Linked DNA regions of Sus scrofa. The protein of the gene in region 5 purifies or fractionates together with the protein of the main gene of each other region. This does not show direct contact. Links are inferred from orthologs where the notes say so. Each region holds a gene or a part of one and is shown on either strand. Other genes may lie near its edges.

Region 1 (2,604 bases), on a different chromosome or scaffold from region 5:
TCTTGGCTCCGGCCAGGTGTGTACTGCTTCAGCACAAAGGCCTGACCTCACCAGGCTGCTGGAAGGTGAAGCTGCAGGGGAAGGTGAGAGGTGGGCATCTGGCCCACACCCCTCGTGTCCCCCAGGCTTGTGGTGGCGGTGGAGGAGGCCTTCACTCACATTAAGCGGCTGCAGGAAGAGGAGCAGAAGAACCCCAGGGAGGTGATGGACCCCCGGGAGGCAGCCCAGGCCATCTTCGCCTCCATGGCCCGTGCCATGCAGAAGTACCTTCGCACCACCAAGCAGCAGCCGTACCACACCATGGAAAGCATCCTGCAGCACCTTGAGTTCTGCATCACGCACGACATGACGCCCAAGGTGGGCCGGCTCTGCCCCTGGCAGCCTTCGTCTGCCCCCAGTTCTGGCCCCTTCCTCTCCACATCCTTCTCCTGTCTTCTCTCCCTTCCTTCCTTCCCCTCCATCCTGCTCTCTCTCATCTCTACCTCCTTATAGTCTCTCCTTTCATCCGTATTCCATCCACCCCACCTTAGGTGTAAGGAGAGGAAGGAGTTGGGAGACCATTTTGAGAATGGCCGAGACCTCTTTCTCAACCTGTAGACGTTCTGGGATTTTCAGATCCAATGTCCCACTTTACCTCCCTCACCTCCGCAGATGCTCTCTGCTCTGTACTCTTTTTGAGCCACTCCTGCCCTTCAGCTCCACGGGCAGCTTCCTAGGATCCCAACCTCTGAGCCACCTGTAGGGAACAGGTGACGAAAGAAGTTGCAGTTCAACTGTGACAGCTTTCAGCTGGTGCAGACCTGCTGGGCACTGCCCATATGAGCAGAAGGAAGAGGGAGGGTGGATGAGGGAGGGCTTGCCCGGGCCGTGGCAGGTGCCAGGGAAGAGCAGAGGCTGAGGGGTCCGGAGAGCCAAGCCCCAGTCCTGATCTTGCTGGGGGCTCCGCTCCCGCCTTTATGAAATGGGTCTGAGGCAGGTGCTCCCTTTCCCACTCTCACCCTCTGAGACCGGATGCAGAGGGTGGGCTTGGGGACATCTTGGTGGTCTTTGGAAGCTGTACTGCCAGGGGGTAAAGGATGGTAGGTGCACGGGAGAGCTTCCTGTGACGTCCCCTCTCCCTTCCTCAGGCCTTCCTGGAGCGGTACCTGGCGGCCGGACCCACCATCCAGTACCACAAGGAACGCTGGCTGGCCAAGCAGTGGACACTGGTGAGCGAGGAGCCGGTGACCAACGGGCTCAAGGACGGCATCGTTTTCCTCTTGAAACGCCAGGACTTCAGCCTGGTGGTCAGCACCAAGAAGGTCCCGTTCTTCAAACTCTCCGAGGAATTTGTGGATCCCAAGTCGCACAAGTTTGTCATGAGGCTGCAGTCGGAGACTTCAGTGTGACTGTGCAACAGCAGGGGGAGTGGGAGACACGGAGGGGGGGCTCCTGAGGGTGGTGGTGGGGGCCCGGCTCTCAGGCGCTACCACCTTCCCGCTGCCACCCTTCTTCCTCTTGCGCTAGTGTTTTTTTTTACTTGAATGAACTGGCCCCCCCACCTGTCTGCTCCCCTCTTCCTTGTTGACCCCGTGTGAACCTGGAGAGACCATTCTGCTGTCAGCCGTCCCCGGGAAGTCCCTCTCTTTGCTCCCATCCTCCTCACTTTTGTATCTCGCCAGGCCCTGCAGAAATCAGTGCCTCTCTCTCTCTCCTTTCTCTGGGCGACCGTCTCTTCTGAAAGGGCACAGGGCCCACTCGAGCCCGACTCTCTTGAACCCAGGTTCTCCTAGCAGTTCTCTCCAGTGGCCCCTAAAAGGGTTCCTCGGGGTGGTGGGGGTGCTGACCTGACTCGAGAGGGCCGAGATGCCAAACTCCCCCCGGGCAGCGCTGCCCGCACCCTCCAGGTGACAGGTGGATCTTCTGCCCACTCACCCACCTGCAGCCGACCGGGCGTCCTCGGGCCAGGATGCTCCCACACGGCCCCAGAGTCAGGGGTCTCCCTCCAGGAATATTTGCTTCTAGCTGCTGGAGCCTCTCCCCCCATCCACACACTCAGAGCAAAGGGAAGATCCCATCCTTTACCCTGAAGTCTCCGCCTTCCACTTCGACTTTGTGTGGTCACGTGTGACCACGGGCAAACTGAGACGGAAACCCTCTGTGACCCCTTTTCCTAGGCCCTGGGGCGCAGTACCTTTCTTCTCATTGGTCTTTCCTAGGCGGTCCCTGGCGGACGGGCACGAGAGAGCCCCACGGACGTCCCTGACCCCTACCCTCTGCGCCTGCGTGGTGGGATGAGTCTCCTCCCCCTTCCCTGTGAAGGATGCCACGGAGACTCCTGGACAGAATTAGTGGCTTGCAGACCGCAGCCCACGCTGGCGGCCTCAGACAAACGTTCTTCTTTCTCTCACCAACCACCCGATGTCCTGCTGTCTCCTCTCTCAGCTCCGGAGACCTGTAGCCTCATCTCTTGTTTGGGGGGAAGCCAGCAGCTTCTCCTCATCCCCTGCCTTAAGTCCACTTCTTTGCCTCAGGGGTCTCTTTTCCTTGGCCGGCCAGGGTCCTCCCCCACCCCACCCCCAATTCCCATTCCCTCCCTGCCTGGTTTTCTGGGCTCTGGTCTCC
Region 2 (4,281 bases), on a different chromosome or scaffold from region 5:
TCTGCTGTATGCTAGGTGAGAATAATCTGGGATTGCACTATTTACTCGGATGTTGAAAGGAACACAAATGCCATCAGGATTTTTTTTTTTTGGCCATGCCCGTGGCATGAGGAAGTTCCTGGGCCGGGGGTTGAACCTCAGCCCCAGCAGGGACAACACCAAGTCTTTAACTGCTGGGCCACCCGAGAACTCCTGCCATCAGTATTTTGAGATGGACTGCCATAGGGTGTCAAAGCCCTAGGAAACCACACTGAAAAAAAAGAGTATCTTCTAGAGCCCAGCCTGAAGTTTTAGATGAGTAAAGCTCATGGGGCTGCTAGATTTCACTCTAGCGAGAGACCCATCACTGCTGGCATTGTATTGGGTGCTCACTGCATACTAGATGCTTACATAGGTTAATTTATCCTTTAGGGTGGGTTTCTTTTGTTTTTGTTGTTATTTGTTTTTTGAGGGCCACACTTGTGGTATATAGGAGTTCCCAGGCTGGTAGTCGAATAAGAGCTGCAGCTGCCGGCCTATGCCACAGCCAAAGCCACAGCAACGGCACCTCAGGACCTGAGCCCCATCGGTGACCTACACCACAGCTCACGGCAATGCCGGATCCTTAACCCACTGAGCGAGGCCAGGGATCCGACCCATATCCTCATGAATACTGGTTGGGTTCTTAACCCGCTGAGCCACAAGGGGAACTCCTAAGATGGGTATTCTTAACCCAGTTTTACAGCTGAGGAAGCTGAGACTGAGTCGTTAACGGACTGACCAAGGTCACGGAGATGGAGAGATGCAGCCGAGATGCAGCTTCAGGTGGTCTGACCTCAGGGTGAAACGAAGAGGGGAGTTGAGTTTCTCAGGCCCTTACCAGCTTTATGCACCGGTTGCACATGTGTCTCCCTATATACTACGTTTACTGAAGGCAGCCTGCATGCTGCTTGGGACACAGTTCTCCACACATGGTGAATAGACAGTGTTTACCAAATAGAACAATAAAGTAACACAGGAGGGCTGCCATGCATAGAAATCTGTAGCTTTTGGAGTTCCTGTCGTGGCTCAGTGGTTAACGAATCCGACTAGGAACCATGAGGTTGCGGGTTCGATCCCTGGCCTTGCTCAGTGGGTTAAGGATCCAGTGTTGCCGTGAGCTGTGGTGTAGGTTGCAGACACAGCTCGGATCCCACGTTGCTGTGGCTGTGGTGTAGGCCAGTGGCCACAGCTCTGATTCGACCCCTAGCCTGGGAACCTGCATATGCCGCGGGTTCGGCCCTGGAAAAGACAAAAAAGAAAAGAAAAATCTGTAGCTTTTAGTTGTTTGCACATGAAACTATATCAAGGAATAAACCACTCAGAAAATACATTTTTTTTCACTTAGTGTCCCCTGAAAAAAATAAAATCTGATCGCTACTGTGGCGGATACTACAACTCCCCACCCCAAACACGATCTTCTTTTGTAATATTATCAAAAGCCTTGCAGCTTTTTCACAATCTGGAAGAAACAAGGGGTCGATTCCTTTAATTTCAGAAGCATGTAGGTCCATTTGTAATAATAAAAAGCTTTTTTTCCAAAATTAATTAACAGAGTTTCATTTATAGGACTGACTTCGATATGACGCATCTCTTGAACGAATGGCAATAAACTCTGGCAAACTGAATCGTGGTAACCATAGTAACGGGGGGGGAACCCTCTCGCAGTTTCCTGGGACGCACGGGCCGGAACGCTCTGAGGACATTTGGCCTGTTAGGCACGCCGTAGTCGCGCTGCATGCTGGGCCTCGGCAATATGGCGTCCTCCTTGATGTGCTGATGAGCGGAGTTTCACTGTAGCTTCAAACCAGAGGGCAAAAGTCCCGAGACCCAATAAGCCCACATTACGCATTTTTCTCCACGGCTCCGTGTCGCCCGTTTCTAAGGACTCGTTCTCAGGGAGGAGAGGGCCACGGGGCCGGAGGCCAGGACCAGCCAGGCCGCGCGGACTCGGGGCTGAGGAGCCGGCTGCGGGCGAGCACGATGGGCCGGTCCTGGCTCTGGTTGCAGCAGCTCCGGCGAGTGCGGGACCCGCAAGGCTGAGAGTGGCTGCAGGAGACCCGAAGCTCTCTGAACCTCTTCCCCTCGGCCGGAGACCTCAGCCCGGTCGGCGACCCGGCACCAAGAGCGGGCGGCCTGCCTGTCCTCGGATCGGCTGAGGCGTTGGAGGCCGAGGGCAGGGTCATCGTGAGGCCTGGAGTCTCGCACGCCTTTGACAGCTCCGCTCGCAGCCCCCCGGGAACCGACAGCCGCGGAAGCAGCCGGTGGCTTGGGATCTGGGCCGCCTGTGTCTGTGCGGAGCTCCTTGGGTTCCCTCATTTCCCACCGCTCTTCCCACGCCTCCGACTTCCCGCGCAGAGTTAGAGAAGGATCGCAGACTTTTTGCCTGAGTGAGGGTCTCCGCACACTCACTATCCGTTTCATTTTCTACTCCTCCCTCTTCTGTGTATTCGTTCGCCAATTCTGGTACACACTGGTTTTCAAGGCTGGAGGTTCTCGAGCGCTTGCTGCCCAGGACTCCCCCACCCCCTCCCCCAGTGATGGAGTCCGAGATGCTGCAGTCGCCCCTCCTGGGACTCGGGGAGGACGATGAGGCCGACCTTACAGACTGGAACCTGCCTTTGGCTTTTATGAAAAAGAGGCACTGTGAGAAAATTGAAGGCTCCAAGTCCTTAGCTCAGAGCTGGAGAATGAAGGATCGGGTAAGTGGATCGCGCCTGCGCCCCTTGGACCTTGGTAGTTTTTTTCAGGGAAGTTAGTTTAGAGCCAGAGGAGTGTCCTTGGGAAAGCGGCGGTATTTTTTCCCAGCTGTGTGTTTCAAGTCAACCAAAAAGCACAAACCATTTCAGACTCTGGGTCTTGGCTGTAAGTGGAAAAGGCTGTTTCGGTTCGCAGTTATTCCCTGGAGAGTTAATTCGGTACAAACTAAGTTCTAATTCAGACAGTCCAAGTTAAGTATGTTAGAAAACCCAGCATTGTCACATGCCCCTTGATATACTTGGCACTGTTAACACTTAGAGGAAAAACAGCTTGGGACATAATATTTGTACCCACGTGGTTAGTCTACTTTTGTGGCTAATTTACTTTTTCGGTCCAAGCTAGGGCAAGTGCAGAAGTCCAGTATCGTATGCTAGGAAACAAGGTTACTGGCAAATGTTCAGGTGGTAACAAGTTCATGCGTAGTTATTTCAAAGTTACGGTGAACTCCATCATAGCCTTCTAAACAGCTTTCTGGAATCCAGACTGTCCTCCTTTTGTGTGGTGTCTTGTTACTGTTACTTGGAGACGGAATTTCTCTAATAGTGCAGTTGGAGTATGACGGGGTGAAACGGGGGTTTAGGTTTTAGGGGGTCTTCGTGGTGCTGGGATGTGGATAGCAACTCACAAGCAGCTTACAGTAAAGGAAACAATTTTGTTAAATCTGACCTTAATTTGGAGAACTATTTTCCTGGTCTCCAGAGCAGAAGGATGGGACTCTCTCATCTGTACGTGCTTAGAATTTGTCTCTTTGTGTTTCGTTTTCTCCTTCTTTAAGACTCTTTGTTTCTTTGAACATTTTGGTATAAGAGAGGTATTTGGTGTTATCATGTAATGTGGTTGCTCTGGGCTTATGAAGATGTTTATATAAGATTGTTGTTTTTAGTAGGTGATGTTGAACATATATGCGCTTATCCTCATGGTCATTCTAGGTGGTCAGTCACTAGTAACTGGTGCTTCAGGTATTACCTGGCTTCTCTTTAAAAGGTTAGGAAAATTTGATTGATACAAAAGCAGTCTAAGGAGTAAAAGAGTTGGTCACTGGAAGAGAATGTATAGAGTCTGTCTTATGGATATGTTTCATACTAAATAGATAGTTCAGAGCTTTCATGGTTGCAAAGCATATCTCAAAAAATATATTTTAAAAGTAACTGCATGGAGTTCTCTGGTGTCTCAGTGGGTTGAGGTTCTGGGGTAGTCATTGCTATGGATCGAGGGATCGAGTTGCTGCTGTGGCATAGGTTTGATCCCCAGTCCTGGAACTTCTGCATGCTGCAGGCATGGCCAAAAAAAAAAAAAAAAAAAACAACGTAATTCTGTGGTCATCTTTTTTCTCCTGTTTGGAGGCCCTTCCTTTTTTTTTTTTTTTTTTTCCCTTTTGACATGTAGTTCCCTTGGCTACCTTAAACCCTTGGTCAAACTGTTCAAAACTGCTTAATGGATATATTTTTTATTTTTTAAAAATGTTTTTTGTTTGTTTGTTTGTCTTTTTAGGGCCACACCCAT
Region 3 (3,980 bases), about 53 Mb from region 5:
GTGGTGCAGTGGTTAAAGAATCCGACTAGGAACCATAAGGTTGCAGGTTCGGTCCCTGCCCTTGCTCAGTGGGTTAACGATCCGGCGTTGCCGTGAGCTGTGGTGTAGGTCGCAGACGCGGCTCAGATCCTGCGTTGCTGTGGCTGTGGTGTAGGCCGGTGGCTACAGCTCTGATTGGACCCCTAGCCTGGGAACCTCCATATGCCGCGGGAGTGGCTCAAGAAATAGCAAAAAGACAAAAAAAAAAAAAAAAAAAAACAAAAAAAAAAAACAAAGAAATATGAAAAGATTAAGGACAGCTGGATGAGAAGCTGGATGAGAGGGTGGTTGGAAGGATATGTGGTTAGATAAATGCATGGAAAGAAGGATGGATGGCTGTGAGTGTCTACTGGATGGACAGATGCACGAGCCCTGGAGGGAGGTAAGGTAAGATGGGTAGAGAGATGAATCAGTGGATGGAAGGATACTTGGGAGGATGAATGAGTGTGTGAGTGAGTGCGTGGATGAATGGGTGGATGGTTCCAGGTGCCAGCCTGAGGCTGGATGATAACAGGTGGGTCAGTGGCTGGTTATCATTAGCCTTCTCTGAGTGGTCCTGATAAGAATCAAAAATCCACCTGAGGCTGTGAACTTCCTTCTCCTTCGAGGGAAGAAGAATGTGCACTTCCTCTCTTCCCTGGGAAGAATCACAAGCTCCCCATCATGGGCAGGGAAGCACCACTCTCCAGGGCAGGACCTGGCTCTGTCCCAGCTCTTCTCCCAGAATATCCAGCTGCCTCTGAAAACCCAGGGAGAAGAGCTCCCCAGCCAGATGCAAAGAGAAACAGTAAAGAGGAGAAGCCAGAGGCTGATCCCAAAGGGCTGAAGTTTTACGACTCAGTCATTCCCTGCTGCGTCCAAAGGCTGGGCTCCCAGTCGCCTCTGGAGCGGAAAGCCGGTGCCTCCCGGTACGATGGAACCCCGCGGCCCCCCGGGGCACCCGCTTTGGCACCCGGTGTTACCATCTCCGTGGAGAAGGGGGCGGGGGCAGCGAGGCCAGCGCCAAGGAGAGCCGGTACGTCTTTAAACTTCTGCCGGCTGCTTAGTCACAGCCCCCTCGCTTGGGTGTGTCCTCCGCTCGCTCCCTCCCTCTTAGGTCACTCACTCAACCCTCGAATAAAAACTGCACCCAACTTCCCAGGCGCCCTCACTGCCAGCCGGACCCCAGCCTCGGACAGGTTCTGGCGCCCTGCTCGTCCAGTGCTCTGCCGGCCCCCGCCCAGCGCCCCGGCCCTTCCATGTCACCCGCTCACTCTCTCCGTCGTTCCGACGCCATGGACACCTTTTGGTGGCGCGCAGCTTGGGGACTCTGCCTCGTGCAGCTGAGCCTGGCGCAGATCGGTGAGTGCCTGCCGAGGCGGTGGGAGGGAGTGACAGGAGTGGCCGGGACCCGCCGGCAGTCGCGCGGGTTGAGTTGGCCCTGGGGCACCTGAGTCAAGTGGGCGGCGAGCGGCTGGGATTTGGGGAAGGAGAGCCGGGCACGGATTTGCGCTAAGCTGGTGGAGAGCCTGTTGGTGGAAAGCACCGTTTTGTTGAAAAGAGAAAGAACGAAGAAAAGTTTGCTGGGCAGGCTGCCGGCGGTGGCGCGCAGTTTTGGGTGAGGTTGTTGGAGCCCTAGAAGCACAAGGCAGAAAGTAACTGTATTCCTGGGCGCGCACAGCCCGCGCGTCTGGACTAACAGGCTCTGGTGCCCAAGGGCGCTGGAAGCCCGGCTGGGCTGTGGCCGGGCAGAGCTGGGCAGGGCAGGGACAGGGGCTAGGGCAGAGGCAGGGCTGTTGGCGAGGTGGCCATAGAGGTGGGCACAGTGGCTATGTGTGAGGGCTGGTGGCCATGAGCTTTCTAGAAAGGGGTCCTGGGTTCCAAGGCTCTTACAGTTGGCTCCAGTCACTAAGGATCTTAACACTGTGGGAACCTGAACCAGCACTGTGGCAAGGTTCTGGGTCTCCACGAGGTGCCAGCCTGGGTCAGGGAGTGTGAATAGGAGAGGCACTGACTGGGCCAGCTGCTAGGTCCTGGCAACCTCCTGCTTCTGCCGATCAGTTAGGGGAAATCCAGCCAGCAGCGATGTGGCTCGTATTCCCTGCCTGGCAGCCTCTAGGCAGGATGGGGGAACCTGGGCACCAGGGTGGCATCAGGAATCCTGGATCTGGGGCTGCCAATATCCCATCCCAATAGGCTCCATGCCCTTCAGTGGCTGTTGGGGGGAGAGGCTGTGTGTGATGTATTGGTGAGGCTGAACTCCAAGCATTCCTTTCTTTTGTCTATAGAGGTACAGATAATTACATGGCTGATTTGGTTATCGCTAGAAAAATTAATTATTTTTCTTTTAAGAAGTGCCAGCTGGGTCATTAGAACAGCTCAACCTATGGTTAATTCCACTCAGCAAGTGTTTATTAAACACAACCCTGGGAGTACCAAGAAAGTAAAAGACACAATCCTAGTTGGGTGCATTAGAAGGACATGTGGGGATCTAAGATGTAGATTCCTCAAACAGAACAAAAGTAATCACCGATCATAATAATTAATATTAATAGGGATGACTGCACTAGCTACTATTTCTTATGCACTTTTGCTGTGCCAGGCACTGTGCTGAATTCTTGACTTGGGTTATCTCATTTCACCCTTGTGATGGCCCAGTGTGGTGTTGTTAGCCTTTTTTTTTTTTTTTTTTTTTTTTTTACAGGAGGGAAACACAGTGAAGCTCAGAGAGGTTAAGTGACTTGCTGATGTTCACACAGCCAGAAGGATGGGTGGTCGTGTGAACCAGACCCCTGAGCCTATTGCTTAATCAGAATATGTTAGGCTGGGTGTGTGGCATAGACAGACTCTCAGAAAAGATTTTATGGAAGGTGGGGTCGTGGTGGACCAGAGCCCTTAGAGGAGGCTTTCAAAGGCAAGGAACTAGACCTCCAAGGAGCCGTGGAAAGGCAGAAATGCTGGGGCGGGGAGAGAAGAGGGGAAGATTCCAGGGGGAGCCCTGAGCCTGGTCTCAGTGAAGAGGAACCAGGTTGGTGTCTCTGTGACCTCTAAGGAAGTTTATTTGTACATTATGTTCCTGTGTCATCTTCTGCTTTGTTTCTGAGAATTCTGACTCCTGACTCCCTCCATCCTGTAGCCCTGATTCTTCTTAAGGGCCCCATCCCCCAATATTCAGCACTGTCTTGACCCTTGAAGTTCCTCCCCAGACCAGCAGGCTCTCCTGCCCGGAGTTTTTGTGGTCCCTTTGGGCAGCATCATTTGGAGGAAGCGCCCAAAAGTGCCTGTAGCAATAACTGCTGGGGCCCAGGCTTTCATGTGCTTGTAAAGTTGTTTGAAAGGAACTGAGACTTGGAAAGGAGACGTGACTTAACAGCAGGCTTGGGCTGGGCAGGCAGAGAAGGGAAGGAGAAAGAGGAGGCGGGGAGGTTCTGCTGTTGCCCCGCTGCTAGTGGAGGCAGTGGGCTCTGGAGGACAGTGAGGAAACTGTGGGAAGGGGCGAGGCTTCGGGAAGGAAGAAAGCTCCCATCTCCCTACTGGAGAGCAAGAAGTGGCGATGTGGCCGAATGCACTCAAGCAGCATTGGACCCAGACTCTTTAAGCTGGAGAATAGATCTCTTGAACTGGGTGTCACAGTGGGAGGAATAAAGTAGCCCTGGGTGGCGGGCATTGGGGGGAGCCCTCGTCCCTCTCCTTCTCCTCTCCTCTGTGGGTGAGAGGTCATTGCTAAGGAATTTCACTCCTGGTGTTTAGAAAGAGGGGTGCATCTGACAGTAGTGGGGTTTGGGGGTGGCAGGCAGCCTGCTGATCCCTCTGAGCTTTAGAGACCCCCTCTTCCAGGAGTTGGACTTTGGCTGTGTTGTCCCAGGCAAAGAAGCAAGGAAGCAAAACTCCATCAGTGCTGAGGTTAGTTAGCATCAATTACTTCAGATGTTCCCCAAATAGACACACAACGGACATCTTAC
Region 4 (4,260 bases), on a different chromosome or scaffold from region 5:
CAGGGCCTCCAAAGGGACACCACCTTTCATCTGTTTCTCGGAATAAACTGTCCATCCCAAGTTCAATCAAACACTCCTCTATTTTTTTGTTTTATCTTTCCAGAAACTGTCCATGATACTCCCTTAATGAACTATTCCAGTGGTTAACAAACTTCCCTGTTTGCAAGGGGTTTTGTTTGTTTTTGTTTTTTCTGTTACGTCCCAGTCAATTTCTCTTGATCCAGTTATTGAAAGTTTGAGAGAGGCTGGCTATCCTACAGTTTCACATAACTTTCAGAAATGGGTACAAGGCTATTGCAGCAGCATGCTTGCTGAGCTCTAGTACTGCCCTTCATCCAATAGCTGTGTGATGCGCAAAAAACTTAACCTCTCTGTACCTCAGTTTCCCACCCGCTCAGCCTGTCCCTCTGAGCCATGGTTTCATCCTTTGGAGAAGGTGAATGGCAACATCTTCCCTGCCTAAAAGGGGTCATCAACTGCTGGATGACTTGGTGGGCATCTCTGTTATGGGACATTTCACTGTAATTACTATTTATTTCTGCACTCTCCCACTGGACAGTGAGCTCTAAGGAGGAAGCTGTCTTTTTTCCGCGACCTCTAGCATCTAGAGCGGTGCCTAGCTCATAAGCCAAGGAAACGGAGATTTTAGCCAAGATTTTCTATGGAGAATTTTTGGCACCCACCTACAAGTCCAGGTCTCAGGATGCACTCCCTTCTCTTCACACCAGTGTCAGATGGGGTGGGTGGCTGAAGCTGGGGACTAGGGACCAGGGACGCTGAGACTAAGCTTTTTTGGACGAGGTTTTCGAAGGGGCCGAGAACGTGGTCAGACTCAGTCGCGCCCGAGGGGACAGAGAAGGGATGATGATACATCGCTGTACTCCACTTCGGCCCCGTTTTCGTTCGCTATTTTATCCTAGCGTGTGGGATCGGGCTCAGCTCCCTGACGCTTAGCCGGAGTCACACGACGGTGGGCGGCGCCCGGGAGTCCCCAAGAGCACGGAGAGCGCCGCGGATGCTGGCTGCGCGCGCCCCCCAGAGCCCCGCAAACCGCGGAGAAGTCCTGGCGGGGTCAGCCCAGGTGGGGGCGACGCGCCTGAAGAGGCGTCCGAGGAAACATGGCGGCGGAGGGAGAGGGGAGGCCTCACGGATCGTCGCAGGCAGAATCGTGGCTCTGCACACACATAACCATCGAAAGCTCTCACGCACGAAGGGCAGAGCTTCCTTGCTCTATGGACGGCCGTCGTGGAGGACTACACTGGGCAGCCTCAGGCGACAGTGCAGTGGTTGAGTCCAAGTCAAGATGGTTGCAGCCTGTTTGGAGCTCTCGGAAAGCGAGAACCGGACCTGTGGGCGGGGCCCAGAGGTGGGGCGGGGCCTGGGGCGGGGCCTTGCGAGGGCGGGGCCAGGTGCCGGGCTGTCTCTGCTTGTCAAAAGGCAGCCGCCGAGCCCTAGGCGCCGGGAGCGCGGAGCAGCGTGCCCATCCGCCGGACCAGGTGCGGACGTGGGAGCGGCGGGAAGGGGGGCGGGGGGTCCCCCAGGATCAGGATAGGCCGGAGGTGGAGGTGTCGGGGGTACTGGCCTGAGTGCCCAGGTGCAAGCGCTGGAGTCTGGGCAAACTTGGCGACCGAGATTTTGCCCTGAGGCTGGAGCACCGAGGGGACACTGAGGTCTGAGAAAGAGCCTAAGTTCGTGCCAGGTTGGCGAGGGGAGCAGCGACCCCCTCAGTGCTCAGCCGGCCGATCGCAGAAATGCTCCTCCAGCACAGTGCTCAGCACTTGGGCAACAAGAAGCATTTGTTTCCTTCTTCTGTCGGGCGCCTTGGCATGGACTGGAGGAATAAGAAAGGGAGAGATTGCCTCTCAAACAGTACTGAGGTCTTCTGGGGGTGGAGTGTGGTTAGCTTTGTTATCTTGTAGAACCCAGGTATGGTCCTCTGCGATGGTGGAGCCAGATCTTTTAAGGAGAGTTGGTTTTTCTCTTCTTTTCTTGACTTTTTTTTTTTTTCTTAACCAATTATTTTAGACCTGGTTGACCCTAGTGCACTGGACTTGTTTTTTTCGGAGGAGCTTGTCCATTGATGTTCAGAGGAAATCAGATACAAGCATCTAATTGAGGAGGGGGCTCAGGGAGTAGTTCTGTTTGGGGAGTGACGGCCCCCACATCTGTGTGTGGTAGGCGAGGAGGATTTCAGGGAAGTGTCTAGGAGCGAACATCATATGGTATCTGAGAAGCAGTGGACACTGCGCTCTCCCCCCATGGACCGCTGAGGCTGAGACACAGGCTGCCTGGGCTGGGAGAGCCCTGGGTCTCTGAGCCCAGGCCCTTCCCGCATCTCCTCCTCCTCCTTCTCCTCCTTCTCCTCCTCCTCTTCCTCCTTCTCTGTGCGGTGAGTGAGTCAGCCTCCTGTCTGGGCTCAGTTGCAGCCAGAGGGGCCAGAGCCCAGGCAAGCAGTTGGGCAGGCATTTTCTGAGCATTGCAAAAGCTCTCCTGGGCAGAGTTCAGCTCTGCCCCAGCTCTCTGCTGGAAGTCTGGCTTCCTCATGGCCGATGGTTACCATTTCTGAAGGGGACACCCAACACAGGGATGATTATGGGATGGCTGCAATATGACTCCAGAACGGGTTGACTGGGAAGGGATTGTGGCTTTGTGGTAAATCCACATCTCTTATTCTCCTAGGATCAGGAGGTGCATCCCAGCATGGCAGACGTTTCTAGCCCCTCATTCCCTTTCTGCCTAGCGATCTTGTGAGCCGCCCATCTCTGTTAGGGAGCTGGGTGTGCACAAGAAATCAGGAAAGATTCTGGGATGAGGGAAGCCATGGTGTTGGCAAAAGTTTTAAGTCAGGCCAGGAAGTGGGGGTGGTTTGCTGAGGTGGAAATGGTTTATCTGGACACTAGAGCCTCCATTCTATAAACCAAGAGTGTCGGGGAACTTTTCTCATCTCTTCCCTGTCCTTGTGCTGGAGGATCCTTCTGGAATGGTGTCAGGGTTGCATGCAGCCAGACCCGGAGGTTTTTAAGACTGCGGATTTCTCTCTGGCTTTTGTTTTGGGTACTTCAGATCCTTGAGTAGAAGTAGGGGCCTCAGAGCTCCCGTCCCCCCTACTCAGTGGCCTCTGTGGACCCATTTGAGATGAATCCACCACCGGCTATGGGGCTGACTCAAACTACAAAAAAGCTGGGGAATTCACAATCTGTGCTCTGGCTTGGCCCCTCATCAGCCACGACTTGGACCCCTTCCAGGGTAATGGATAAGAAGGGAAGGAAAGTGAAAAAGGATAAGAAAAGAGGAGAGTGGGACGAGGCAGGAGGGAAAGAATAGGAAGCTTTCCTGAGCCCTCGCAGCTCTTCAGTCAAGACCATCAGACTTGACTTGTATAAATACTGTGAAAGGCCTGATGCTGTTTGACGGGCCCTGGTTCCTTGTGTTTACGGTTTCTCAGTCTTCCTTCCTTATTCAACCTCAGAATTGATCTCCTTTGGGGACTGAGTCCCAGAGGAAGCACCAAGAGGACCTCTTGCACCCCAACCTTCCACTCCCAGAACAAATAGCCAGGGTCCAAAGCCGATGTCTTCCACATTTGGAGGAAAGCCTGGGGTCTGGTGGGCCAGACCAAGTGGTTATCCAAGACCGGAGGAGGACTTGCCGTTGCTCATTTCTTTACCTTACACCCTGGGGAGGCAGCAGCCATCCTGCCGGAAAACCAGAGTTTGCTAGAAACCTGCCAGTGCTTATGTCCAGCAGGTGGGTTCTGTGACCGAAGAGCCAGAGTCAGGAGCCCCTGGAAGTCCAAGCTGGCAGGCGATGCAGTGTGTCGCTGGGCAGGATGAGTTATAGGGTTCCAGCTTAACCCTGCCCAAGTCTGTCTTGGATGCAAGTCAAGAGAAGTGAGGAAATGACAAGATTTGCTGAAAAGCCTGCTCTAGCCTGGTAGTAGACCCTCCGAGGGATGACAGGGAGCAGGGACCCACCAGCCAGACAGGGCCTCCTCCCTCTAGATGGTCTGAGCCAGGGCCGGGCCGTAGCTAGCGGCTCCCTCCACTACTGTCCATTCTCAGGGGATCCAGCTGGGTGAAAGCCAGCCCAGCTGTTGCTCTGAACCACTCAGGTCTTGCTTCTAGTTACGCTTTTCTCTGATGCTCCACGGACCCTCTCTTGTGTCAGTGCCCTCTTGGATGTGCTAGAGAGAGTGACTATATGATTTATTGCCCACACTAAGAGGCTTTCAAGAGTGAAAGGGGTGTGATTAATAGTTAT
Region 5 (3,500 bases):
AAAAATAATAGGGGGATTAAACAAAACAAGTACAAAGCAACATGGATAGAGAAAAAGGGAAAAAAGTAATGAAGAGTAAGATAAAACAATGTCACAAAACTCCTGGAAGTTGAGAAATGGATGGAGGGCAGTGAGCAACTGAGGGATGCCAGTGAGGAGCAAGATTGGCTGTGCAGGGACCAGGGAAGGCCAGGGAACAAGGGGACGGAGACCTCAGGGTCCCACTCCGCCAGGTGCTGGCCCTTGCCCATGCTCCAGGGAGACCTGGTGTTTAATTGCTGGCGCACTTGACAAAGGGAAGCTTCGGGGGTGGGGCCCCTGGGGATGCAGGACAGGGTGAGGCACCAGCCTGCGGTTGGGCATCATGAATGAGAGGGAGTCTGGCAGGAGCCAGGGAGTCCCTGCTCAGGAGACGCTAAATGCATCAGGGACTCTCTCTGCGACCCAGGACCCCAGTGCCTGGCCCTGCTCCCCGGCACCCTGAAGATGGAAGCTCATGACGGCCCTGGCCCCCCAGAGTGCGGCTTCCTAGTGCCTCGTTAGGATCAGACAGCCATGGATCATCAACCATTTGGGAAAACTTCCACACATGGGAAAGAAGGAACTCGAGAACGGATGCAATAGAGAAGAGAATGTTAGCATCCTCAGGTACAGAAAAGTAGCTGCATCCATGACAACTAGGATACCCTGCCAATGCTAACAAAAGGGAGCCGAAGAAGAATGTTCTTGGAATTAGGAAAAAAAAAGAAGAAAACTTCAAAAGAAACCTTAGGTTTTAAGATCATCTCAAGGAAATATTCTAGAAGCAAAACAGAGGCAGAAGGAGAGAAAAGATGGGGTAATTTGAGGGTTAATCCTGGAGGCCCAGTGTAGTATGAAGGGATTCCAGAACGAAAACAGAGTAAACAGAATGGAGGAGATTAACAGAGTATAAGATGGTCTCTTGGCACGAAGGAAACTATAATCTCTGGATTGAAAGGGACCCCAAGTGCCTTGAACAATGACTGAAAAGACCCCACATCAGAGCTTGTTGTCATCACATGTCAGAACCCTTGAGAGAAAGAGAGCTTCCTGAAATACTCCGGGTTGCTGGAAAAGCTTGGGGATTCAAGAGCACAGCCCTGGGAGCCAGAAGGCAGTAGTCTCATCTGACATGATCCAAGTATGAAAGCAGAAAAAGTTGTCAGGAATGGAAGGAAAGGCGTAGGAGCTGTGCCTCTGCCCATTCCAGGCTGGAGCTGCAGGCTCTGTGCCCAAGAGGGCTGATCTCCAGGAAAGAAAACCACCTGTGGAGCATCCAACACACTGAACCCATGCAGAGAACATGATCGAGAAGCTATGGGAGAAAATGGGGAAAGTTAGCACATGAAACAGGGCAGCAGTCATGCTGCAGAAACAGAGACACTCTGCAAGGAAGTAAGTCCACTACTTGGCCCAGCCAAGATGATGTTTATATCGCAGCGCTAATGGAAACACTGAAGGTTGTCTGCACCAAAACTGGAATTTTTGAAAGAAGGGGAGGTAAGTGTTACTCTTCCAGGGCAAGAAATGAACTGTAAACCGTCAAGAAAGAAGGAAGGAGCACTGAGGGTTGGTTGCAAGCTGTCTCCGGAGAGCAGGCCGGGCTGTGTGGCAGGGGGTTGGGAATCTTCTATAGCCTTTTGGAATTACTTGATTCTAAGCTGTGGGCATGTAGTCCCGTAACAAATTAAAATTGCTTAATTACAAACATAGCTCCGGTGATTGTGCTCTCCCTGCTCCTCAGTGAGCACTACCCCAGAGCTGGAGAGCCTGGAGGTGGCCGGGTGCCCTGTGCTTCCAGCCTCGTGGGCCTCACAGAGCTCGCACGGCCTGTCTGCCTGCCTCATAAGCAGAATTTGAGCGTTCACTCTGCATGCTTTTCCCTGAACACAAGTGCGGTGCTTTCTGTGTCCTCGGCGCCGTAGCGGGGGTGGTTCTGGCCACACGTGGTATTTGGCTCTCACCCTGTTCCTTGGGCCAGGCCCTGCCTGCCGTGCAGCCGCTGTCCTGCACAGTGAGGGGCAAGACAAAGGCCCTTTATGGACTTTCTGGCTCTGAAGCTGACCCAGGATGTTAGCTGGGATCAATCAAGTTTTTGTTTTCTCCCTGGCTCCTAGGCATCGAAGTCGATATTGACGTGGAACATGGAGGGAAGAGAAGCCGCCTGACACCCACCTCCCCAGGCAGCTCCAGCACAGAGGACAAGTGCAGCTCTCAGCCGAGCAGCTGCTCTTCCGACCCTAGCAAGCCGGACGGGGAGGTGGAGGGCACGGCCCAGTGTCTGGTGGAGCAAATGAATAAGATCGCCCTGGAGTCGGGGGTGCAGCCTGAGGCAAGCATCCTCCCGCCCCATCCCCTGAGGCTGCCAGTGTCTCCCAGCACCCTAAGCACAGCCCCTCCCCAGCACTCACGGCTAGTGGGCCCCATTTCTGTTGCAGAGTCAAGTTGGTGTTATCCAAGTCATTCTGTGAACCCTCCACGAGAACTCTAAAGAAAACATATTCCTATAGCCTCTTGCTGGTCCTCCATGCCCCACCTGTCCCAGGAATCGAGGCTGTAGTCAGGTGGGCCTCTTGTTCTTGTGTGTTCACAAGGCGGGGTTTGTTCCAGGAACAGATGGAGTCTGACAACTGTTCAGGAGGAGACGATGACTGGACCCATTTATCTTCCAAAGAGGTGGACCCGTCTACAGGTGAACTCCAGTCTCTACAGATGCCTGAATCTGAAGGGCCAAGCTCTCTGAACCCTTCCCAGGAAGGACCCACAGGGCTGAAGGAAGCGGCATTGTACCCACATCTGCCACCAGGCAAGTGATCTCAAGCAGTTTTGTATTTCTGCCTTTTCTGTTGACAATATTCTGCTTTTAGCAACACAGAAAGATGTCATGTTCTCTACTGTGGGGCCTGTCTGTTGACATGAGAGAAAAGTAGGGGGTGGTTTTCTTCCCTGTGTCTACACTGAGCCCTAGTGAGCTCAGCTCATTTTAGTAATTCCTTAAACTTAACGCCCAGGCCTGGAATTATGAAGGCAGATGTGCTACAGAGGTGGCACTGGCTCTGGTACTGCCACTGCCACACACTACTGAAGGTGGACTTAGTCCATCGTCATCGTTTCCCCACAGAAAGTGCCACCCTGAGAGCAGGGGTCACAGCCACGGTTCTGCCAGGAGCCAGGCAGGAAGTCACTGTGAGAAGTGGGTGATGTGGAAGGCAGCGGGGCTGGCTGCAGAGTATGGCAGCCTGGAGAACACACACTGAAGAGGTGACAGACATCCTGCCGTGGCTCATTACTGTCACATGACAGTAATGTTTAAAACAGTATTCAAGGGGAAACCCATCTGGGCCAAAATTTAGCCCTTGGGCTACTAGGAGCTACCTTCTCTGCCTTTGGGCGCAGAGTGGCAAACTATGACCTATGAACCAAGAATGATTTTTTCATTTTTATAATGATTGGAAAAAAGTCAACCTGGGAAAATTAGA
Region 6 (3,500 bases), on a different chromosome or scaffold from region 5:
TGTAAAAGTGAGAAGCAGCTAGGTTTTTTACCAGAAGTTCCTAGATACTTACTAGAAAGAGGACATCTAGATATTAAGGAAAACCTTTTTATTTATTTGTGGATAAAAGAAAGATGGGAGGAGTTCCCTGGTGGCTCAGTGGGTTAAGGATCCAGCATTGTCACTGCTGTGGCACAAGTTTGATCACTGGTTCAGGAACTTTGGCACACCACAGGCAGAGCAAAAAAGAAAAAGAGAGAAGGGTCCATCATTCTAAGGATGTGGAAAATGGAATGGGGGTTCCGAGGGGCCCCTGGTCTTTTAAGGCAGGTGCCAGTTGTACTTGGCAAAGCCTTTTATGAGCATGTGGCTGCTGGGCCATAGGGTTGTGGAGGGCGGCACAGGCTGGGAGCACGAAGCACCTAGGTGGTGGGTATACTGGAAGGCCATAATCCATCCTGATATCTGACCACCTTCCAAAGAGACTGTCCTGGAGGCTCCATTCTGAACTCTCCTGGGAAAACTGCTCTGCACTCACCCTCAGAGATGGTGGCCTTCATCCCTGAGTGCAAGACATCTGGAGAGGATTGTAAAATTTCTTCCTGGAAAGTCAGTACCCAGAATGCCCCTGCGAGACATCCTTATCTCAGACTTTCCCAGGCTGGAGGGAGCCCCACAAAGAAACACTTGGGTTTGATATTTGCTTGCATGCATCTTCTCTGCTTACCCGAGGACCCCACAGCCTGGGCCACAAACGGGTACCATTCTTGATCAAACGGGAGTGCGCCAGCAGGGGGCCTGGAGCGGTGAGCCCCTCCCCAGAGCCAGGCCTGCTCCCACATTTGAGAAAACAAACCCAGCTTTCCAGGGTCTGGTGGCTGGTTTCTCTGCCCGCCGTGTTTAGACGACCTGGCCCTTCAGGCCAAGATAAACTCAGGATGTCGGGAAGTCCAGCAAGACACCACAGGTCAGAGTAGACGGTGTGTTAGAATTTTTGTGTGGGTTTGGTTTTGGGTTTTGTTTTCGTTTTTTGTTTTTTTTTTTTTTTAATTAACTCATGGGTACCTCATTCTACACAGACAGCTACAGACAGTTCTTCAAATTCGTCTCAGAAGAGGGAACAACCTACGCGGACGATCTCCTCCCCCACATCCTGTGAGCACCGGAGGATTTATACCCTGGGCCACCTCCACGACCCTTACCCCACGGACCACTATCACCTCGAACAGGTGAGCAGCCATCTCATGCCTCAGAGGCCAGGGGGTGGGTGGCTTGAGATTCTGGAACAGCCTCCTCCCCTTCCCGTTCAGCCACGTGCCCGAGCCTAGGCCTCTTCAGTTCTCCCGCTTTGTACCCCCACCCCCTCATCGGAGGGGTGGGGGCGACTCACCCTTACTCCGAGTGCTCTGTGTGCCAGACACCTTGCCAGACCCTTCACATGCTTTATCTCCTTTAATGCACACAGGTTACCCGCAAGCTGGTCCTCTGCATCCCCACTTTATAGATGAGGAGGCTGCGGCCTAGGGAGGGTCCCTAGTGGCACAAGATTCAAATGCCCGTCTCTCCTCACCCAAGGTGCCACACTGCCTCGTACCTTTCTCTGTCCAAAGGGCCTCCTGGCTTTGTGTGAAAGCACAGAGCCAAGCCATGATCAGGACCACAGAATACTGTACCCTTGGCTCAGGCACCCTGGCATCTTGGGCTGCAGACCCCGGCTTTCTTGGGGAGCTGTAGCTGGAATTCAGTAATTCAGCAAATATTTACCAAGCGGCTGTTTTTCAGAGAGGTTCCCGAACTGTGGGCCATAGCCTGGGGCCCAGGTAGTAAGATGTGGCCACCAGTCTGCTTTGAAAAGAGAAGAAGCATGAGGCACCTGGGGTTTTTAACGTAAAGATAGATATATATGACTCTTCTTTCCAAATCATCTAAGTGTGTGCTTCCTAATATTTTGGCACTAAAATGTTCTATTTTAAAATCACATTAAGGTAGCAGTAAATGGGAACTGACTTTTTGACTCTCCTTACTTTGCAAAATAAATCATTAGCAAAGTCTATGTCAACTCCCAAGATTTGTTTTGAAGTACTGCAGGGTTGTGATTTTTCCAAAGTCAGGGAAACTCTGACATCAAGAATTTGGCAGGAATTAGGGCAACGCCTGCAAGACATGGCCCCTGCCCTCCAGGAGCTCACGATTTTGTGGAAAGTGATGGATACGCCTAATTACCATGTGATAAACTCTATGACAATATTATAAGGAGGACATTGGCAACAGGTATCAAGTGTGTCCTATGTGACAGGCCCTGTGCTGACACTGCATAGATTCTTTCTCTTCATTCTCACAATAGCCCTGTTCAGTTTGATAGTCAAGAGAAATGGAGTCTGAGGCTTAGCAATTTGCTAGGAAGTTTCCACTCCAATGGGTTTATTCAGAGCTATGCTCCTCACTCCTTAAAAAGCCTTTATGCTCATGGAGTCCCCGTTGTGGCACAGTGGTTAACGAATCTGACTAGGAACCATGAGGTTGCAGGTTCGGTTCCTGGCCTTGCTCAGTGGGTTAAGGATCCGGCATTGCCGTGAGCTGTGGTGTAGGTTGCAGATGTGGCTCAGATCCCGCGTTGCTGTGGCTCTGGCATAGGCTGGCAGCTACTGCTCCGATTTGACCCCTATCCTGGGAACCTCCATATGCCATGGAAGCGGCCCTAGAAAAAAGGCAAAAAGACAAAAAAAAAAAAAAGCCTTTATGCTCAGAGGGCTTCAAAGGTGGAAACTCTCAATTGTCTTCCACAACTGGGATGCCTGGTGCAAGGCAGGCTTACCTGAATCCACTATTTAGTGCCTGTCTCTCTGGACAAGGCACTGGTGCACACCAGAGCCAGCCTGACTGCAGAGATGACTGATTGACCCTAAGGGAAAACGCAGGTTGGTCTGAAGGCTAAAAGGTGTGGCTCTGAATCAGGCCTTCCCCCAGGGCTCAGATCTTAGCTCTGCTGCTATGTGTCAAATAGATCCTGGCAGGATTTGAACCCAGGCAGTTGGCCTCTGGAGCCTGCACTCTTAGGTTTTGCATATCCCAGCATCTTACCTTCCCAACCAGATGACAAGGTCCCTGTGAGCCTCATAATTTCTAGTGTCCACTTTTGCTTTTTTGAGCATGGCCCAAAGTGAGATATGCATTTAGTATTGTGGCCCAGTGCACGTTACAGATGTACACAAAGGTAACAAATGAACATACCTTAAAACATGCAACACACTCCAATGTTCTTTTGCTTCACTGGAAAAAAAAAAAAAAAAAACAGCCAATCTTACAAAAGAGAGCACACTGTTTCAAAACAGGTGAAAGTAAGCCATTAGAAATCAGGATAGCAGTCACTGTCACCTTAGGTGGTCAGAGGTCACTGAAGGGAGATGAGGATATCCCAGGGAGGGCCTCCAGTTCTGCTTTTTCGATCTGGGCATGTCCAGCTTCTGAAAATTCACCCTTGATTCTTAACAGTGTGTATACTTCCCCGGACAGAGGGTAAT
Region 7 (4,098 bases), on a different chromosome or scaffold from region 5:
GAATTCCTAGCAAGCTCTCAGTGGCCAGCACCTCGTGTGCCTTATTCACTGACGCTTCCCAACAGCACCTGGCAGGTGGCCGGCACGCTCACCTAGGCAACAAACAGCTCTAGGTAAATGGCACCAGCATCCTCCCCGCTGGCCATTACCTTGATTCTGTCCCCCTTTCAAAGCCAGACTGGTATTTTATTTTTTATGTTTTCCTTTTTAGGGCCACACCTGCAGTGTATGGAAGTTCCTAGGCTAGGGGTCAAATTGGAGCTGCCGCTGTTGGCCTGCGCCACCGCCACGTGGGATCTGAGCCACATCTGTGACCGATGCCACAACTTGCAGCAATGCCAGATCCTTAACCCACTGAGCAAGGCCAGGGATGGAACCTGCAACCTCATGGATACCATGTCAGGTTCTTAACCCACTGAGCCACAACGGGAACTCTCCAGACTGATCTTTTAAAAATGTAGATCAGAGCATGTTACCCTAGGGCTTATACCTTTAAATGTTTTCCAGGGCTCAGAATAAAATGCAAACTCTCTAAATAGCTGTAAGGCCTGGAATTTTCTGGCCCCTGCTCCTTGCCACCTGTCTTGTTTTCCTTTCACTCCTGCCTCCTAGATTTTTCTGGGGTTTCCCAGCATGTCTGACTCCTCCCCTTCAGGGCTTTCATGCCCACTTACCCTTCAGGTCTCAGTATGACATCACCTTGTCCGAGAGGCCTTCCATGACCTCATGTGGGAAGCTCCCTGATTTTGTCCCATGGCACCTACCTCCATCTGTAAGTCTCTATGGGTTTTCATCTCAGCCACGGCTTCCTGGGGAGAGCGACCACAGCTCTTACGCTCAGGTCCAGCGGGCTTCAAAGACACCGTATACACTCAATATGTGATAGAATCAATGAATTGACTGGGTCTAGACTGAGTCCTAAAGTTGAGGCAGTTAAAGGTTAAGGCAGACTAGAGCCCAGGAAGGAGTAGTCAGAAGGTACAGGGGACCTTGGATAGAGACAAGGACCCCAGTGTCGAGAGCATGTGGCCCCAGCAGGAACCTGGGGTATCCCAGGTGACCTTGGGCCCTTTAAGTGAACACCTTCAGGCGCAGCTTTTTTTTTTTCTCTTTCGGGCCGCACCCATGGCACATGGAGGTTTCCAGACTAGGGGTCAAATTAGAGCTACAGCCACTGGCCACAGCCATAGCCACGTCAGATCCAAGCCGCGTTCTGCAACATACACCACAGCTCAGAGCAACGCCACATCCTTAACCCACTGAGCAAGGCTAGGGATCAAACCCGCAACCTCAAGTTTCCTAGTCCGATTCATTTCCACTACACCACAAGGGGAACTCCCTCAGCTGTCTTTTTTGAAAAAAAGGAAATATCAATTTCATGGGCTTCTATCACTTGTGGGGAAAAATAAACAGTAGATACTTAATAACAGAATAAAAATAAAAGAGGGTTGATTTGTTGATCAACTTGGAAACATAAACATCCAATTTTGTAACACAACTTGAGCAGCAGTCCTTACAAGGGCACTGGGCCTGAAGTGTAACCAACTTGGGTTCAAATGCCTTTTCTAGCCACGTGTCTTCAGCAGGTTGAGGTTCCTTCTCATCTCTAAGATGTAGATCCTATTACTTCCTTCTTAAGATTGCTACTAGGATTACACTAAATAAATAAGCTGTTATCATATAAAGCTGGCCCACATTAAGAGTTTTAACAGGTACTTCCTTCCCTTTTCCATTTTTTGAAATGCCAACTGTATTTTCTAGAGGCTCACTATTGAAGATAAACAACAAGATAAAATTCATATAACCTAACGTAAATAAACCGGGAAAGCAAATGGACGTGTAAATTGGTTGATATGGGCTCTGGTTTTTCAACTGGGCAAACAGGACATGGCTGTGTCCGGGATGGACTCAGAAAATCGAATATGTAATCCAATGAGGTTAGGAAAAAAGTTTAAACATGAACCCACCCCCTACTTCGTGCTGATAACTGTACATACTTTTTTGATCCACTACCTACTTTTCAATGCAAGTCAACAACTGTCCGTAAGGCGGACACCTCTTGGCTACTTCCCCAATCTCCACTGAGGGATCGCCGGGGCCGATGTATTATTTTATTTCTTCACAGCAACCTAGGAGGTGAGTGGTAGGTACCTCCACTACCGTTTACAGATGCTGACACTGAGGCTTTGCGCGGGCGAGCAGCTTTCTCAGGACGCCCTGCAGGAACCCCGAGGCCCAAGTTCAAGGCCTGCGGCCTCAGCCACGCGCTGGCCGCTGCCCCACGACTCCGGGTCGCGCAGGGTCAAGGTCCAACAGGCCGGGCCGGCTCCGCGCGCGGACGTGGCTTCGGCGCTGGGTGTCATTCCCGCCATGACCTTGAGCCCCGCCGGCCCGGCAGCAGGCGCTCCGACCCTGCCGAGGCTCCGGCTCGCCCCGCCACGCGGACCGCGGCCTCAGCCCAGCCGCCCCACAGCCCCGGCGGCCCTGCCCCATGGGAACGCTACCGAGCCAGGGCGGAGACCCGCGCCGAGGACCCCGCGCCCTCCGCCCCGCGGCGGCCCCTCCCCGGCCGCTCCCGGAAAGGGCGGCGCTGCTCACCGGAGCCCGGGCAGGAGGCTGCAGGGGGCGGCCCGCCACAGGAAGCCGCCGCCTGAGGCCGCTCCGCCGGCGCGCAACACTCGCGCCGCCATCTTGCTCCGGAGCCTCGACTCCCACCGCCCCGGCCTCCGCTGACGCCGCCGCCGCCGCCGCCGCCGCCGCGACCCCTCCCCCGGCCGGGCCCGCCGAGGCGGGGGGCGGGGCGGGGCGGGGCGGGGCAGGGCGTGCGGCCGCTGCAGTGCGGGGCGCGACCGCCAGGGGGAGTGGGGCCCAGGACGCTGCAGCGCGGGGAGCGGCCGCCAGGGGGAGCGGGGGGGGCGCAGAGGTCTGGTCCTCAGTGCGTCCTGGCACTGAGGTCCCGGAGTTGCAAGAAAGGAGCGGGAAGCCTGAGGGCAACCGATTTTGAGACTTCAAGCTCCGACGAAAGGAGCTCGGTGCCCAGCACAGGGGCCACCCAGGGGTCGAGGGCAAGGCTTGAACATACGTGGAGAGATTCACCGGAAGAGAGTAACACAGTTCCTAGGGGAATCCAGGGCCTGGGGGCGAATCTGAGAGGCAGCTTCTTTTTAGATTTTGCACCAAGTACATACATTGCCTTTTCAAAAATAAATTACGCTTTAATAAAAACATTCTCGTTCTGGATGGAAACATACTCAGATACTCTCGTGGTCTCCGGACTCCTTGTTCTGTTGATGTGAGCATGCCGCTGGGTGTGAAATGATCGGAGTGTGTCAAGTGTGAGAATGGAGAGGTTGACAAGACCGGAAGGGAGCCCGGGCTGGAGAGTGCGTCCCCAGGGGTGCCTGGAAAGTGGAAGAAAGACCCTGGGGAGCTGGCACAGCGTCCTGGTCCCAAGGAAAGAGCAGACAGGTGGAGGGAGGGAGAACTCCGGCCGCCCAAGGAAACAGCTTAAACAAAGGCGTGGGTTGAAGTTCCCGTCGTGGCTTGTTGGTTAATGAACCCGACTAGTATCTATGAGGATGCAGGTTCCATCCCTGGCCTTGCTCAGTGGGTTAAGGATCTGGCGTTCCGTGAGCTGCAGTGTAGGTCGCAAGTGCGGCATCGGATCTGATTTTGCTGTGGCTGTGGCGTACGGCTGCCGCTGCAGCTCCAATTCAACCTCTAGCCTGTTTGGGAGAAATGTATCCTGTGGGGAAATAAAAGAACCACTGATAGAATCATGAAACCGCAGCTAAGAGCTAGACAGAAAATTGAGGAGCAGTTAAGCTCCTATTAGATCCCTAGCCTGGGAACATCCATATGCCATAAGTGCGGTCCTAAAGAGACAAAAAGACCAAAAAAAAAGAAAATGGGGAGAAACAGGGGAGGAGCTTCCCAGCCACCAAAGGGGGCATTTTCATGGCCCAGAAGAAAATGTCCTTAAGACTGGGTAGATTACAGATCTCTAGGAGGGGTGGGGACAGGCACTCAGCTTGTGTGTGGAGGGGTCTCTGGAGTTGGTAATTCTAAAGATGAAGGGAGGAGGAGGGGGCTTCAGGG

What was found.
Region 1: the proteins of SQSTM1 (region 5) and VANGL2 purify together in Homo sapiens (affinity purification with western blotting; 3 studies listed by BioGRID, with this or other methods). This does not show direct contact. The link is inferred for Sus scrofa from reciprocal best matches to the Homo sapiens genes SQSTM1 and VANGL2.
Region 2: the proteins of SQSTM1 (region 5) and RPTOR purify together in Homo sapiens (affinity purification with western blotting; 3 studies listed by BioGRID). This does not show direct contact. The link is inferred for Sus scrofa from reciprocal best matches to the Homo sapiens genes SQSTM1 and RPTOR.
Region 3: the proteins of SQSTM1 (region 5) and CD44 purify together in Homo sapiens (affinity purification with mass spectrometry; 3 studies listed by BioGRID and IntAct, counting the BioPlex papers as one, with this or other methods). This does not show direct contact. The link is inferred for Sus scrofa from reciprocal best matches to the Homo sapiens genes SQSTM1 and CD44.
Region 4: the proteins of SQSTM1 (region 5) and VDR purify together in Homo sapiens (affinity purification with western blotting; 3 studies listed by BioGRID and IntAct, with this or other methods). This does not show direct contact. The link is inferred for Sus scrofa from reciprocal best matches to the Homo sapiens genes SQSTM1 and VDR.
Region 6: the proteins of SQSTM1 (region 5) and SPRED2 purify together in Homo sapiens (affinity purification with western blotting; 3 studies listed by BioGRID). This does not show direct contact. The link is inferred for Sus scrofa from reciprocal best matches to the Homo sapiens genes SQSTM1 and SPRED2.
Region 7: the proteins of SQSTM1 (region 5) and NIPSNAP2 purify together in Homo sapiens (affinity purification with mass spectrometry; 4 studies listed by BioGRID and IntAct, with this or other methods). This does not show direct contact. The link is inferred for Sus scrofa from reciprocal best matches to the Homo sapiens genes SQSTM1 and NIPSNAP2.

What each region holds. Positions count from the first base shown.
Region 1 is NC_010446.5:90,054,098-90,056,701, reverse strand, and holds part of VANGL2 (vang-like protein 2), read left to right. Parts: intron 1-125; coding exon 126-357; intron 358-1,127; coding exon 1,128-1,388; 3' UTR 1,389-2,604. UniProt on the Homo sapiens protein: Involved in the control of early morphogenesis and patterning of both axial midline structures and the development of neural plate. Plays a role in the regulation of planar cell polarity, particularly in the orientation of stereociliary bundles in the cochlea.
Region 2 is NC_010454.4:1,989,045-1,993,325, reverse strand, and holds the start of RPTOR (regulatory-associated protein of mTOR), read left to right. Parts: upstream 1-1,481; 5' UTR 1,482-2,558; coding exon 2,559-2,720; intron 2,721-4,281. UniProt on the Homo sapiens protein: Component of the mechanistic target of rapamycin complex 1 (mTORC1), an evolutionarily conserved central nutrient sensor that stimulates anabolic reactions and macromolecule biosynthesis to promote cellular biomass generation and growth.
Region 3 is NC_010444.4:25,881,361-25,885,340, reverse strand, and holds the start of CD44 (CD44 antigen), read left to right. Parts: upstream 1-1,180; 5' UTR 1,181-1,277; coding exon 1,278-1,380; intron 1,381-3,980. UniProt on the Homo sapiens protein: Cell-surface receptor that plays a role in cell-cell interactions, cell adhesion and migration, helping them to sense and respond to changes in the tissue microenvironment.
Region 4 is NC_010447.5:78,263,678-78,267,937, reverse strand, and holds the start of VDR (vitamin D3 receptor), read left to right. Parts: upstream 1-1,460; 5' UTR 1,461-1,496; intron 1,497-4,260.
Region 5 is NC_010444.4:78,753,999-78,757,498, reverse strand, and holds part of SQSTM1 (sequestosome-1), read left to right. Parts: intron 1-2,138; coding exon 2,139-2,353; intron 2,354-2,631; coding exon 2,632-2,827; intron 2,828-3,500. UniProt on the Homo sapiens protein: Molecular adapter required for selective macroautophagy (aggrephagy) by acting as a bridge between polyubiquitinated proteins and autophagosomes.
Region 6 is NC_010445.4:76,642,646-76,646,145, forward strand, and holds part of SPRED2 (sprouty-related, EVH1 domain-containing protein 2), read left to right. Parts: intron 1-1,058; coding exon 1,059-1,208; intron 1,209-3,500. UniProt on the Homo sapiens protein: Negatively regulates Ras signaling pathways and downstream activation of MAP kinases. Recruits and translocates NF1 to the cell membrane, thereby enabling NF1-dependent hydrolysis of active GTP-bound Ras to inactive GDP-bound Ras.
Region 7 is NC_010445.4:16,938,968-16,943,065, forward strand, and holds the start of NIPSNAP2 (protein NipSnap homolog 2), read right to left. Parts: upstream 2,801-4,098; 5' UTR 2,691-2,800; coding exon 2,599-2,690; intron 1-2,598. UniProt on the Homo sapiens protein: Protein involved in mitophagy by facilitating recruitment of the autophagy machinery required for clearance of damaged mitochondria.